Linked DNA regions of Mus musculus. The protein of the gene in region 1 interacts with the protein of each later gene in a biochemical or structural test. Links are inferred from orthologs where the notes say so. Each region holds a gene or a part of one and is shown in the gene's direction. Other genes may lie near its edges.

Region 1 (6,980 bases):
CATATGTCTAAAATGATTTTTAATAACTCAAGGTTGAGATTACATGTTTTGGGAAACATTACAAGGGACGTCTTTCTAGTTGATAAGTCAGTCACCACCATGTGACTGCATGTGGCTATTGAATGTGTGTAATGACACAGTGAGGGCATGCTTACTTAAGGATTTTAAATACTTTGCTAAAGAAAAGTGAAATATACTAATTGTACTTATTAAATACTAACAAGCAAACATTTTTATGTTTGGGACTATGTTCAGGAGCCAGGCATAATAATACAAGTCCTGCAGCTCCGGGATTTCAGGGGCACAGGATACTTCATGACCTGCCAGGGAGGGCTACATCATGAGACTCAGCTTCAAAAACAAAGCAGTAGCAATTTTTTATTAGGCATTTGAAAATTTCACTTTCATGTGAACTAAAGAAATTGAACACTTGGCTCCTATGTCTGCTGTGCAGCTCTGCTCTGCTGTAGAATATAAAGTTTATATAAATTGTCTCAAGATTTTAGTCACTAGAAACTTTGCAAGGTTTTATTTGTTTTGTTTCTTTGTTTTTTTGTTTTTTTTTTCCAGTTTAATCTTAAGGTTTTTTGTTTTGAGGCAGTCTGATGTAGGCCAGGCCGGTCTTGAATTTTGCTTAGCCATGGCTTTTGAATTTCCTGAGCCTCCTGCGTCTAACTCCCATCTGTTGGGATTAGAGCAGGAGCTGCTATGCCTGGCTGTTATGTTCACTGTTAGGGAACTTGGAAATACATATGCAAGGCTTTTCTGATTTAGAGAGATGTTTTAGAGACGTCTTTAAAAGTTTCATCTGTGGAGGGGTGGAGTGGTGAATGGTGTTGCACTCCCAAGTGCACCGGTGGATGTGACAGCACTACCTTAGTTTAGGGGGTTGGGTTCCCCCACATCACACGAGAGTTCCTGGATTAGAACTCAGGTCAGCAGATTAGGCAACAGACTTATCTCCCAATCCACCTCCCATCTTGTAAGCCCTAAGGTGGATTAGAAAGGCTGTCTTCCTTCAGTACAGTCTCAGAACTGTAAGGGTGCTTTAGTTCTTGTCTCCGTATCCTGGTGCTGGGATTAGAGGATGGCCAGACTTTGCAGCTAAGGTGTACTATTGGAAGCTGTGCTGCTACACTGTTTAAAGAATACCAGTCAAAGATTGTTTTAATGGATGCAGGACCCTGGTGTATCATGGTGTCTACTATAAGTAGACACAGATTTAGGAAGGCCAGCAAGTAAAAGTTACTTTCATCTTATACAAGCATAGCTGGTTAGTGATTATATGTTAGTATTCCCACAACTTTTCTTATAAATTCTATGTTGTGAGTTGGGGAAACTGCATTGTCATAACTAGTCTTTTTTTTTTTCCCCCCCAGTATTTTACCGGGATTGTCAAGTGCAGATACATATCTAAAATTGAAAGTTCCACATGTTCTTAAAATTACATTTAGTTATTTATTGCTTATGTAGGTGTATGGGCAAGCATCATTTTGTTCCTCTTTAGGGGATTATAAGGACTAGAATTCCAGTAAACTTAGCTCTCCAATAATGCGTAACAAGCTAACCCTTTTATGTCCCTAATCCAGGGTTTAGGAGGTGGAGGCAGAAGGGTCTCAAGAGTTAAGGGCAGTCTCTGCTAAACACTTGAGTTCCAGGCTCTCCTGGGTTACAGAGTGAAATAGCACACAGTGGTAGACCATTTTTAGCACAAGGCCCCAGATTTTGCTACCCACAAAGAATACACATGCTAAAGTATGTTTTTCCTAAATTTTAATTGTGTTTTAGGGCAGATTAAAGGCATAAAAAATTAGTTTGATTAAAAAAAGATAGATGGGATAATTAAAGTGACCTTAGTTTGTGGATGATATTCTATATGTAGACCCTAAAAGCCTCACCAGAGAACTCCCCCTTTTTATGTACCACCTAACAAACATGGGCAGGGAGGAAATCTGGAAAAAGTCTTCATAGTCATCTCAGACAACAGAGGCTGGAGAGGCGAGCCAGTGGTTATGTGTGCATGCTGCTGCTTGCACCTTTCAGAGGTCAGTTTCCAGCATCTGTATCCAGAGGCTCTACAGCTGCAGTTATCCCCAGGCCCAGTTGAGTCACGTGCTGCTGGCCTTCAGGCCTCCACTTCATGGCACCTGCACTCACCCACATCCTCTACCCCAGACATGCAGATAATTAAAAGTGTTAAAATGGGGGCCGTTGAGAGCAGCACTTGTTCTTGCACAGAGGATCAGAGTTTGGTTCCTACCACTCACATGGTGGCTCATAACCATCCATTACTCCACTTCTCTCCAACTCCCCTTTCTGTCATCCTTGGGCACCAAGCAAGCATGTGGTACATATATATTACCTTCAGGCAAAGCACTCATTTATATAAAATTACTTCTTAATATAAAAAACCAAGGGTTAGGTATGGTAGTGCAGGTCTTTAATCTCAGTCCTTTGGAGTTAGAGGCAGGTGGACCATCTAGGGCTACATAATAAGACCCTACCTTTAATTCAGTTTTATCCATATGAACTATGTATAACATGAAGTATGTGTAATGCTCTGCATTATCATATGTGTGTGAGTTTTGCATGTTCATGTTCAAGTTCAGTAAGAATTAGTTCATAGCTTCCCTAGTTGAAATTCTTTTATTTGGTTAGTCGGTTTGGCATACATACTATCAAAATTATTTCCTGAAATGTGATGAAATATTGTATAATTCTCCATGAGTGATGACCTATGGATTACTTTAAGTGGACAGATAAGTGCATTTTTTATGGTATACATTATATTGTATTTATAGGATGGCTATATCGTTAACATCCATTACTTTACATAGGTATTTCTACTCTTACATCAAGACATTGTAGATACACAATGTTAGTAATTGTAATCTCTAGTCTAAATATTGTTCTCCCTCAGAGATTATGTGTCGGCTCACTAGCTTCTTCCCAATCTTACTCTACCATATTAGCTGAGAATTAATTGTTAATAACTGGGAGCTGTCACAGGACCACTGTTTTACATTTACTATTCTGTCCTTGAGTCAGTTTTATGACCGCCACGTCTATTTACAGATCATCTTTGACTTCTTTTTCTATATGAGACCATATGGCAAATGTATAGCCCATAAAGCCTAAAATATTCCCTGTTGTGACCCTGTACAGAAAATATGTTCTGTTAAAATTAAATAACCTTCAAGAGGTAGCTGTCAAGAAATTGAGTGGAGTTTAATGAATAAGTAGGAGGAGGGTTCTTAGTGGAATTTTGTTTCACATTGCATGTGTGTGGTGTGTATGCAGTGTGCAGTGTAGATCTCTTGTTTTGAGGCAGTCTGATGTAGGCCAGGCTCTCGCCATCTCTTGGGACAGGGGATCCTGCTAGACTGTTCAGCTGGAGTCCCTTGTTTCTGCCTCCTGCATTCAGAGTTAGAGCACTGGGCCTCAAACTGACAGTGTAAATACTTCCCACTGCTCTAGTTTCTCTACCCCTTCACATTTTTATGTGCTGTTGGGATTAAACTCTGTGCCTCCCATGCCACCAGCCTTCTAGTGTTTATAGAATGAAAATGTAGGTTATAACCAAACAAACTCAACTGTTTTCCTAGGTTCTACAACTCTAAGATTAGGTGAATTTTGCCTCTACCTCCGAGTGCTGGGATTAAAGGTGTATGCCACCAACACTACGCAGGCTATTATCTTTTAACAAAAAAATTTAAACTTTTGATCTCAGCAGAATACCCAACATAGTTGGTTTCTTAAAAGCCTTTAGGATGTTTAGACTTGAGATGGGTGACCTATCTTTTTGATTTGGAATAATTAACCCATGCCCTATAAAAAAACTCCAAGCTATTTGAGTTACAGCAGAATTTTTAGATTCAGTCTATATAAGGCAAAATTTTCATTAAAAGTTTTTAGAATTTTTAGAATTTATAGAATATTTCCAGCTGTTTCTTAATGGGATTCCAGGCATGTGCCACTCAGTCCAGCTTCATGAGTGCTTTCTGAATGCACTGTAATGGAGAGCAAAATTAAAGACAGGACCATCCATATGTATATACACATAACTTCAGTTTTTGCTTAATACAACCAGAAAGATTACACCCTGGTGACTAACTTGCTTTGTTCATGTGTGTCATGGTCTATTTTTAGGTCAGTACATGAGAGCCCTCTCATTCTCTCAGTGGCTGAATATTCCACTGTATGGTTGTACCTTGCACAACTAGTTTCCGTATTGATGGACATACATATGGTTGTGTTTAGTTTTTGCTAACATTATAATGGGTTAGATAAAGCCTATAATGTAAGGAAACAGATAGTGTAAGCTACTTGAAAGAAAAAAGAAACTTCCTTGCCACAGTCACTCACTAAATGAAATTGAATAAGAACACTATCAGGAGTTGTGAGGATGAGGGGCTGAAGAGATGGCTCAGCACTTAAGAGCACTGGCTGCTCTTCCAAAGGGCCTGGGTTCAGTTCCCAGCACCCACATGGCATGTGGATCTGACACCCTCACACAGACATACATGCAGGCAAAATATCAATGCACATATAAATGAGTAAATTAATAAATGTATATATTTAAAAAGTTGGGAGGACCAAAATTGATACTTTTTCTCTGATCTTTTTGCCATGTGTATATCTGAATTCTTTGTTTTTAAAGAAGAAACAGCATTGAAGCATTATTTGGGGGGAAAAACACACACACAAAATCCAGCAACTCAACATTCATGAGCAGCTCTGTTCTATACCAGTATGTGCCTGTGCAGTGGAAGGAAAGCAATTTTGGTAAGGAATTAAAACTTCAGCTTTAAACTCCCAGCAGGTTGATATTTATCAATGATGAATCAAACAGAAAGTTTTAAATAATTCATTGACAGCCTTTTTTTTAGTTGTAAAGTCACCATACCTTTAATATCTGTAATTTCAGTGTAAAGTTTTCCCCCCTTTTTCCTTAAAGAAAAACTATGAATTTGCAGCCAACAAAGTTTAGATGTATCTAAGGTATGTATTTCTTCTGACATTAAGTAGTCCATTACGATGTGTTATCTTGCACTTCAAGGGACCAAGTTTACTAATTGCTGAGTTTTCATAAAGTAACAAGCTTTTTCTAGGGGCCATCCATTTAGATGCTTTAAAATGTTCATGTATTTTGGTTATTACAGAATATTTATTGTTAGTACCTGTTTGACTAAACATAAGCAGGATATCTGTTATGCTTCTTTCATTAATTAAACTTTTCTGCCTTTTGCATTACATAGGAAATATATCCCGGACAGTTCCAGCCGTCTCTGTGTCACAAATTCATAGCTTTGTCAGATAAGGAAGGAAAACTACTTCGAAATTATACTCAAAATATAGATACCTTGGAGCAGGTTGCAGGAATCCAAAGGATCCTTCAGTGTCATGGTTAGTGACGTCACAGTGGCTCTCGTAGGGCGTTCAATAGGTAACCGGGCTTGGAAAGAAGCTGCTGTCTAGTGACGAGACTAAGCGTTATTTAGTAACCTTGAGTGGACAAAATTGAAAAGGACACAAACAAAGCTGAAGGCCTCAGATGTGGTGGGTATACTTTGATAACAAGTTCAAGGCTAGCCTTGACTAAACAAGACACAGCCAAGCTAAGGTAACTCAGTTGGAACCTTCCAGCTGCAGTTTTGGCACTTGCAGAGTTATGTTATTGCAAATAGTAGCTTTAGAAGATAAGGTCTATATACACATGTATTAGTAGATAAACTATATCACATGTATTATATTCCTTAAATACGTCACAGGAGAGTTCAGGTTAGTCTTCATGGTGGGGCTAGAGAGATGGCTCTGCATTTAAGAGCATTAAGAGCACTGACTGCTCTTCCAGAGGTCCTGTGTTCAATCCCCAGCAACCACATGGTGGCTCACAACTATCTGTAATGAATGCCCTCTTCTGGCATGTAGCAGTGCAGGCAGATACAGCATTCATACATAAAACTGTAAAAAGTCTTCATGGAGCAAGCCACAAATAGCCCTTCAATAAATGTTCTATTTGGTGCTGGAGAGATGGCTCAGTGGTTAAGAGCACCAACTGCTCTTCCAAAGGTCCTGAGTTCAAATCCCAGCAACCACATGGTGGCTCACAACCATCTGTAATGAGATCTGACGCTCCTCTGGTACATCTGAAATCTGAAGACAGCTACAGTGTACTTAGATATAATAATAAATAAATATTAAAAAAAAAAATAAATGTTCTATTTTGGTTGTTTTAGGTTCCTTTGCAACAGCATCTTGCCTGATTTGTAAATACAAAGTTGATTGTGAAGCTGTTCGTGGAGACATTTTTAATCAGGTAATTTAATTCATCTCATTTTAGGAATTGTGTAAACTTCACTTTTGGTTGTATCTTCATCCCCCCCCCCCCCCCCTTCTGAGAAGCATGAGTGTTAGAAATCCTGATGTAAACAGGTCTTTTTTGCAAGAGCATGTTAGAGCACACTTGAAGGCTGAGGCAGGGCACTGTAAGAGTCAGGCTAACCTGAGCTGGATAGCAAGAGTCTCATTTTTTAAAAAAAAAGTTTTTCTGTTGCTCAGTTGGTAGATCATGGCTGCTTAGCATTTGTAGTCCTGGGATTGCTCTCCTGCCTGAAATCCTACCATTTAAGGAGGTTGGAGAATAAGAAGTTGAAGGTCATGGTCACCTACAAACTCTTTCTCAAACCAACCAACCTAAAGTCCTCCTTAATACACCTAAGCACCTCCTTATATAATCTAGGCCTAAGTCACAAGTTGCAGGGAACACCTCTGGAATTAGTCTTACATTAGTTGTGGTAAGATTTAAAACACTTTTCAAAATGATAATGAAGTATTTATTACAGGAAAATATAGCAACACACATCCAGATATATGTTTTAACTTTGAACTCATGTATAACCAGGAAAAAAAAAGACAGTATACTCAAATGGAGTCATTTTCATAAATATTTTTAAAAGGTCTTGTTTTCATTCTTTACC
Region 2 (7,520 bases), on another chromosome or scaffold:
CTCAGAAAAAAAAAAAGTTGGTTTTGGTTTTGGTTTTTCGAGATAGGGTTTCTCTGTATAGCCCTAGCTGTCCTGGAACTCACTCTGTAGACCAGGCTGGCCTCAAACTCAGAAATCCGCCTGCCTCTGCCTCCCGAGTGCTGGGATTAAAGGCTTGTGCCACCACGCCTGGCAAAAGTTTTTTTTAAAAAACAAAGTAATAACCCAGACATAGTGTCTCCTACCTGTAATCCCAGCACTCAGGAGGTAGAGACAGGAGGATCTGGAAGTCAGGGTCCTCCTCAGCTACACACCAGCTTGAGGCTAGCCTGGGTTACATGAGATCCTCTCTCAACAAACAAAACAAAACGAAGTCACCTGACTCATAGTTGAAGACTATGATCATTCACACACACACACACACACACACACACACACACTAGTACATGCCTGTGCTGGCAGACATTTGTTCTCGCTGACACATCCATGCAACCTGCTCACACACAGTCATGTTCACACTCAGTCACGCTCACACTTGCTCCAGACTCACAGCCCTGACCTCTAGGCCTGGCTCTGTAGGAAATACCGTGTAGCTTTCTAGAAAATCCCTCCCTCAAAGGAAAGCCAAAGCAAAGCTACTCCCAAGATGAACGGTAGGGAGTCAGTGATGGGATTCTAAGAGGAGGAGGATAATCCTGTTTTCTTTATGCAGACACACCCCCTGCTAGGCACAGGAGAACCTTGAGATAGAGTCCTGTAAGGAGGGACCCAGGACAGAGACTAAGACTCAGAGCAGGAAAGTGGCTTCGCAAGACCACACAGCCAGGACAGAAACCATTCTGAGACCTTAAGACCCACCAGCTTCCACAGAGACCAGCAGGAGGCAGCTGCCTTCCCTGAACCTAACTTTAAGGGTTGGGGACAAACATAGCAGGAGGCAAGCAAGCACCCATGGGTGCCATGCCCGTTGCAGCTGTCTTGTCCACCATGCCAGAGTAGGAGGATGCAGAATGCCAGCACGGGCTATGTCTGCAATGTTCCAGGCAGTACCCCTTTCCTTGAAGGTGCTTCAGGAGTATTGCTTCATTGATCCCAGGTGGCTGAACTGTAAGGAAACGACTTCCGAGGTCTATTTAACAAACGGGGAAACCAAGGTGCTCTTCGAAATGGATTTGCCTAGGGTCACACGGCCCTCAGCAGTCTCTATACCAGATGCCTACATCCAACTGCCTGGGCACACTTTTCTGGAAAGAGACCTAGCCTCTATCCTGGGAGGCCCAGCTTGTTGCTTCTGCCTCAATTTCTCCATCCAGAGAGGATCATCTGGCTGCCAGTGGGAAGGCTGTATCACTGAACTAGCAGGGAGCCAATCCAGGAGCACTGGACCTCACACATCCATTCATCCACTCTGACTGTAGGTAGTGGAGCAGGAAGCCAAAGAATGCTGTCCTGCAGCGCCACCTAATGATCACATGGTCGCAATGTGGACAGCCACACAGGAATTGATTTCCTTCCTCAAGAAATATTAGACAGACAATATACCTACCTCAGTGAATGGAGTTTATGCATGTGAAACACAACAGGAACTTGACTCTTGTTAGCATTTGTTATTAAAAGTGTCTCCCTTCTGGACTAGTTTAGTAGAGATTTGACAATGAGAGTTGTCCAGGGAGAATCACTGTTTCTTTGTGTCCACATTCTACAGTATCAGGTACGCAAACCCCTCAGTATCTGTTGGCCCAGTGAGTCCAGATGTCCATTTTCACTCCCCATTCACAGACCGGCTAGCGCTTCATGGCTCCCACATACCAGGTGCTGGTTACGAGTCTCCACAAGTGAAATAAACCAGGCAGGGTTTCTCCTCATTGCCAAAAAATAATAATTTCTTCTGGGTTAGGAGGTTAGAAAGCTTGTTTGGCACTCAAGAGTCTGCATTTGATCATCAGCACTGCAAAAACACACGAAAGTGACGAAAAAGAAACCTCTAGACTAGAGGTTCTCAACCTTTTTGGTGTCATACGCTCTTTTCACTCTTAAAAACTCAGGGCTGAAGAGAAGGCTCAAAATAACCAAGAGCACTAGATGCTCTTCCAGCAGACTTGGGGTCGTCTCACATCAGCCTGTAATTATGCTTACTTCTGGCCTCCACAGGCATGGGGTATACCTATGGTGCACAGACATACATGCAGGCAAAAATCCATATGTGTGTGTGTGTGTGTGTGTGTGTAATATATATAAATATATGTATACTTAAATTAAAAACAAAAACGAAGCCAGGTGGTGGTGGCACACGCTTTTAATCCCAGCACTTGGGAGGCAGAGGCAGGCTGATTTCTGAGTTCAAAGCCAGCCTGGTCTACAGAGTGAGTTCCAGGACAGTCAGGGCTGCACAGAGAAACCCTGTCTTGAGAGGGGGGGGGGGGAACTCATGTAACCAGAGAACATTTATGTGTAATATTTATCGATAGAATATTTACATCTATGTGTAATATTGATTGTAATATTTATTGATCTATCAGACTAAAAACTGACCTTTTTTTTTTCAATACTAGGGATTAAATCCAAGCATTCTACCGCCAAGCTATTAATACATCCTAGCTCTTCTTATTAATCTGTAACCCAGACTGGTCTAGAATTTGGAGTGTAGCTATGTGATATAAACTGACCTGAAACTTGCCACTCTCCTGCCTCGGCTTCCCAGGTGCTGGTATTCTAAGTGTTCTGGTATCACTGTGCCCAGCAGTATTTACTGTTTCGCCTGACAACCAACTCATTGCTTAATAACATAAACAGTATTTTGCAGCAAATAGCTGTATTTTTCAAAACAAAGCACTTTATTTTGCATGTTTGCAAATCTATTTCTTTGTTGGGGTTTTTTTTTTTTTTTGGTCTTTTGTTTGGTTTTTTCCTTTTGTTAGTTTTGGTTTGGTTTGTTTGTTTGTTTGTTTGTTTGTTTGTTTGAGACAGAGTCTTGCTATGTAGCCCAAGTTAGCCTGGAACTCAGAGCAACAATCTCTGTTCAATCTCCCAAGTATTGGGACTACAAAGTACGACACCTAACCTCCTTGGCTTTACTGATTCTCACACAGATTCTCACAGTGCACGGGACCGGTGTAATGCTTTGAAGGTCATGAAAACTGTCTAAGCCCGGCAAAGTGGCTTAGGTCTGTAAATCCGGCCCTTGGGCGGCAGAGAGAGAAGGATCAGGAGTTCAAAGTCATCCTCAGCTACAATCGAGTTCAAGGACAGCCTAGGCTAGATGTATCCTTGTCTAAAAAGAAAGTAGAAAGAATCACTTCTTTTGCAGGAACTCAGTCTATTCCACACTTGGCCCCTGGACAGAATTGACCAGTAAGGCTAGAAGTCGAGTCTGCCCGCCCACACAGCCTGGATCACCAGAGACCTGTTGCTTAGAAATTGAACAACTGTGGCTTCTGCGCTTTGGACACGCCCCTAGCTCCCCGCTCCTCCGGGGCTATAGGAAAGCCATTGAGCCTGCGTTCTAAGGCAGCACTTCCGCTCGCTGCGGAACCCTGAGCTCCTGCTCCAGTTTCTGCCGAGGAGCGAACACCGCCAGGGCGGAAGTAGCTCGCCGCGTGTGGGCGGGGCTCGGAAACATGTCGGCGGCGTTAGTGCGGCGCGGTTTGGAGCTTCTGGCGGCGTCCGAGGGTGAGGAGAGCAGGTCCTGCGACAGTCGCGCTGTGTAGGAGAGCCAGCCGGGCGGGTGGGGAGGGAGAGCGCGCCCTTCAACTCGGTCCTTCGCTGCCTTTCCCCGTAGCTCCCCGTGCGGTCCCGGGCCAGGTCCAGGCTAGCGGGACTCCGGCGAAGCGGACCCGGAGGGCGCGGGCCAAGGCCTCCCAGGCTCTGAAACTGCGGAACTCAGCGAAGGGAAAGGCGCCTAAGTCCGCTCTAGGTGAGTTGAGAAAGACTGTGAGCGCTTCTTAGAATTGGGGGCAGCGCCTTCGAGTCGGGAGTTCCAAACGTTCCCCGAGACTCCACAAGGAAAAGGCAAAATGAATGTTCAAATCGTGGGGGACAGGTTTCGAACCCAAGCAATCTAATTCCCAGGTCTGCCGCTGTCTGCTATGTGGCAGTTAACAGGATGAGAGAAAGAGGGAAAAGCCTGGGAGTGGTGACACACATCTGTCATCCCTGCACTTGAGAGGTGGAGGCAGGAGAATCAGAAGTTCTGTGTCTTTCCGTGGTGAGTTCAGGGCAAGACCTAATCGTGAAGGCAGATGAAACGCAAGACCCAGGCGCTTGTGAGCTCTAGCCGTGGTGGGGAGAGAAACATCAGAGAGTCTCTCTTAATTATTTATTTATTTATTTATTTGGCTTTTTGATACAGAGTTTCTCAGTATAGCCCTGGCTGTCCTGGAACTTACTCTGTAGACCAGGCTGGCCTCGAACTCAGAAATCTACCTGCCTCTGCCTCCCAAGTGCTAGGATTAAAGGCGTGCGCCACACGCTTACTCTGTAGACCAGCCATCAGAGAGTCTCAAAACTAACAAGCAGGGTTTTGCCAAGTGAGTGAGGCTTGTGAGGTGAAAGGCTCTGCAGTGCTCCGAGGAAGAATCAAACTAACAAGCCAAGGTGGAAGCAACGTTAAGGCATCTGAGAAGGTTTTAGCCAGAAAGGCTTGAGAATTTGGAAGAAGGCTAACGGGTAAGATGAGCAAGAGGCAAGATGGAGGACCCATCAGGGATAGAGGGCTGGCTCACTGGTTAAGAGCACTTGCTGCTTGCTCTTCCAGAGGACCTGGAGCCCCCCAGAAGCCCACAAAGCTGCTCACAGCCCACTGTAACTCCAGGTCTGGGGATTAGATACCCTCTTCTGATTCCACAGACGCTCACTTGGGGTGCACATACATACACTAAGGCACGCAACACACACACATTTATGAAATGAAGCACTCAGTCAACAGTTTACCCTTCTAAACTAACTAACTCGTTTGACCCTCACGGCAGCCCTGTGAGATGAGCAGATCTCTCCCCCACTTTACAGTTACAGAAACAGGCACCTGCCCAGGTGATAGAGGTGGAAGCCGGGCAAATTGTCCCCGTGCTGTTGCTCTTAATGTGCTCTGCTCAGGTGACAGTGCCTCCTTCCATCCCAGTAGGGACAGCAGAAGTGAGTTGATATCATTTACCAGTGAAGTGTCTGCAAAGCAGAAACCTTGTTTCCAGTAGAGCAGCTTAGGGGGTGTGGCACAGGTAGTAAGGCCTCCTTGAGAAGGGGCACAGGATGGTACGCATGTTGCTTTCTTCTTTGACTCCATGCCTCTGCTCTATAAAGGGAGTTGAGGTACTCGGGTTTCATTGTGTGTTTGTTTCTCCCAGTTTTGGAGGCGGGGGGGGGGGGGGGGAGTTATTTTGGCTCGGGCAGGCCTGGACCTCACTGTATAGCACAGGCTAGCCATGATATAGCACAGGCTAGCCACGACCTTAAATCAGCCTTCCTGCTTCAGCCTCCTAAGCACTGGATGATAGGCACACACCACTGCACCCAGCCTGGGAGTCCTTGTTAAAAGCTATGTCGTTCAAGAGGAAACACTATGAACAGAGGTGGAGCTAGGAGGCATGCACAGACACTAGTGGTTTGCACGAGTTCATGTCAAGGTGCCTCCCTCCCTGCCCAGTTATCCCAATAACTGGAGGACAGGAGTGGGGTTCCCTTCACTCCTGTCCTGAGGTAAGCACTCCTCAAGACACAGGACTAACCTCCCATCCCCAACCCTGGATTTTCCATGGTCCTCGTGGCTGGTCTACTGCCTAGTACATAATGGGTAGGCAGGACAATAGCCGGGCATGGTGGTGGTACACGCCTTTAATCCCAGTACTCCGGAAATTCCAACCCCCAAGAAAGAAAATGGAAACCCTCTAAAATGTGTGTTACTGTTCTTCTCAGTTCCTTCCCTGTAGAAATGAAAACAGGAGCTCATGTGTCCTTTGTGCCTGATGCACAGTTATGCTCAGGGTAGACCTTGTGTTATTTGGTGGTGGTGGTGGATTTTTGTTATGCTGTTTTTAAACATAACCCTTTCTGATCTGACTGTGTAGCTAGGAGCAGTCTTCCTATCTTGGCCTCCCCAGTGCTGGGATTACAGGTGCCATGCCTGGCTTAAGACACAGTCATGCCGGGCGTTGTGGTACACGCCTTTAATCCCAGCACTTGGGAGGCAGAGGCAGACAGATTTCTGAGTTCGAGGACAGCCTGGTCTACAGAGTGAGTTCCAGGACAGCCAGGGCTACACAGAGAAACCCTGTGGGTTTGGGGGGGTGGGGGGGACAGTCACGTGACTAACTGATGCTATCCAATAGGGTCTATGAGATTTGCAGCAGACAGTACTTATGGGAAATGTAGATTTGGTTTAGAAGAGACCAGGTTGTGAAATATTCCCTTCTAGGGAAAGGACAGTGGGGCCTTGGGCAGGGGAAGGGACCCAGAAGGCTTCTAATGTACAATGAGTCTGAAATGACATGCCCTGCCTGCCACCCACAGCTGAGTACCAGAAACGGCAGTGTCGAGACCACCTCAAAGCAAACCTGAAGTTTATGACCAGCATGAGAAGCACCGTGCCAGAGTCTGTGACCCAGCAGGTTTGTCGAGGGTGTGAGCTTAGGGACCTGGGTGATAACTGAGGCTGTCCTTCAGAGTCCGTGCGGTTCTCAGCCCTGCCCTGAGCCATAAGCCCTGTGGGCTCAAAGGTTTCCATCTGTGCTTCCAAAGATGGGTGTCCTGTGCCCTTACTCTGAACCTTTTCAGATCCTGCAGCAGAACCAAGGCCGAAAAGCCTGTGATCGGCTAGTGGCCAAGACGAAGAACAAGAAGAAGAAGAAGAAGAAGGCTGAGGGCACTGTGTTCACTGAAGAAGACTTCCAGAAGTTCCAGAGGGAATATTTTGGCAGCTAGACTTCCTGGAGGAATGGTGGGGACAAAAGACACTAACCCTCCTTGGCTGGACTTCTGCTGTCCTGGGTCCCTGCAGTGCTGTGCCACGAGCGACCAGCAGGTGGCAGTGCAAAACTAGCCTGGCTCAGGAAGCCATATGCTGCTATCCCAGGGACACTGGAACAGAGCTGCAAGCCCTGCAGCAAATTTTCCCTCAAACTGAAGTGGACTTCTAGTTTGGCGGAACCATCAGCACCCTGCCAGAAAAGATTCTGACCTGCCAGCTATGACCAGGATTGGTTATCAGGGCTATTTGGTACTGGGCCCACTCAGACCCCACCTCAAGGAGCTGGAAATTCAAATAAATAAATGTGAGTTTGGGCAAATGTGGATTCAAGTGTGTGTGTGTGTGTGTGTGTGTGTGTGTGTGTGTGTGTGTTACAATGTGTTTCCCATCTCAGTGTGGATCTCGGTTCTTCTAGGTTTCCGTGTTAAAGTCCCCAGCCTTGGCCCAGCATAAATGACTTCCTTCTACCAGCGAGGGCCTCCTCTCTGGGCACAGTTACTGTAGCTGCTAGAGTTGCCCAGGAAGTGGACAGGAAGGTCACCTCCACCCTGCTGGATTTTGGGATCTGCTATGGCATCAGTGG

What was found. The genes of interacting proteins can lie anywhere in the genome.
Region 2: the proteins of Sirt1 (region 1) and Rps19bp1 form a complex in vitro, tested with the Homo sapiens proteins (2 studies listed by BioGRID and IntAct). The link is inferred for Mus musculus from reciprocal best matches to the Homo sapiens genes SIRT1 and RPS19BP1.

The regions. Positions count from the first base shown.
Region 1 is NC_000076.6:63,324,465-63,331,444, reverse strand, and holds part of Sirt1 (NAD-dependent protein deacetylase sirtuin-1), read left to right. Parts: intron 1-5,258; coding exon 5,259-5,406; intron 5,407-6,239; coding exon 6,240-6,319; intron 6,320-6,980. UniProt on the Homo sapiens protein: NAD-dependent protein deacetylase that links transcriptional regulation directly to intracellular energetics and participates in the coordination of several separated cellular functions such as cell cycle, response to DNA damage, metabolism, apoptosis and autophagy.
Region 2 is NC_000081.6:80,260,355-80,267,874, reverse strand, and holds Rps19bp1 (active regulator of SIRT1), read left to right. Parts: upstream 1-3,568; 5' UTR 3,569-3,596; coding exon 3,597-3,648; intron 3,649-3,757; coding exon 3,758-3,892; intron 3,893-6,480; coding exon 6,481-6,578; intron 6,579-6,744; coding exon 6,745-6,891; 3' UTR 6,892-7,261; downstream 7,262-7,520. UniProt on the Homo sapiens protein: Part of the small subunit (SSU) processome, first precursor of the small eukaryotic ribosomal subunit.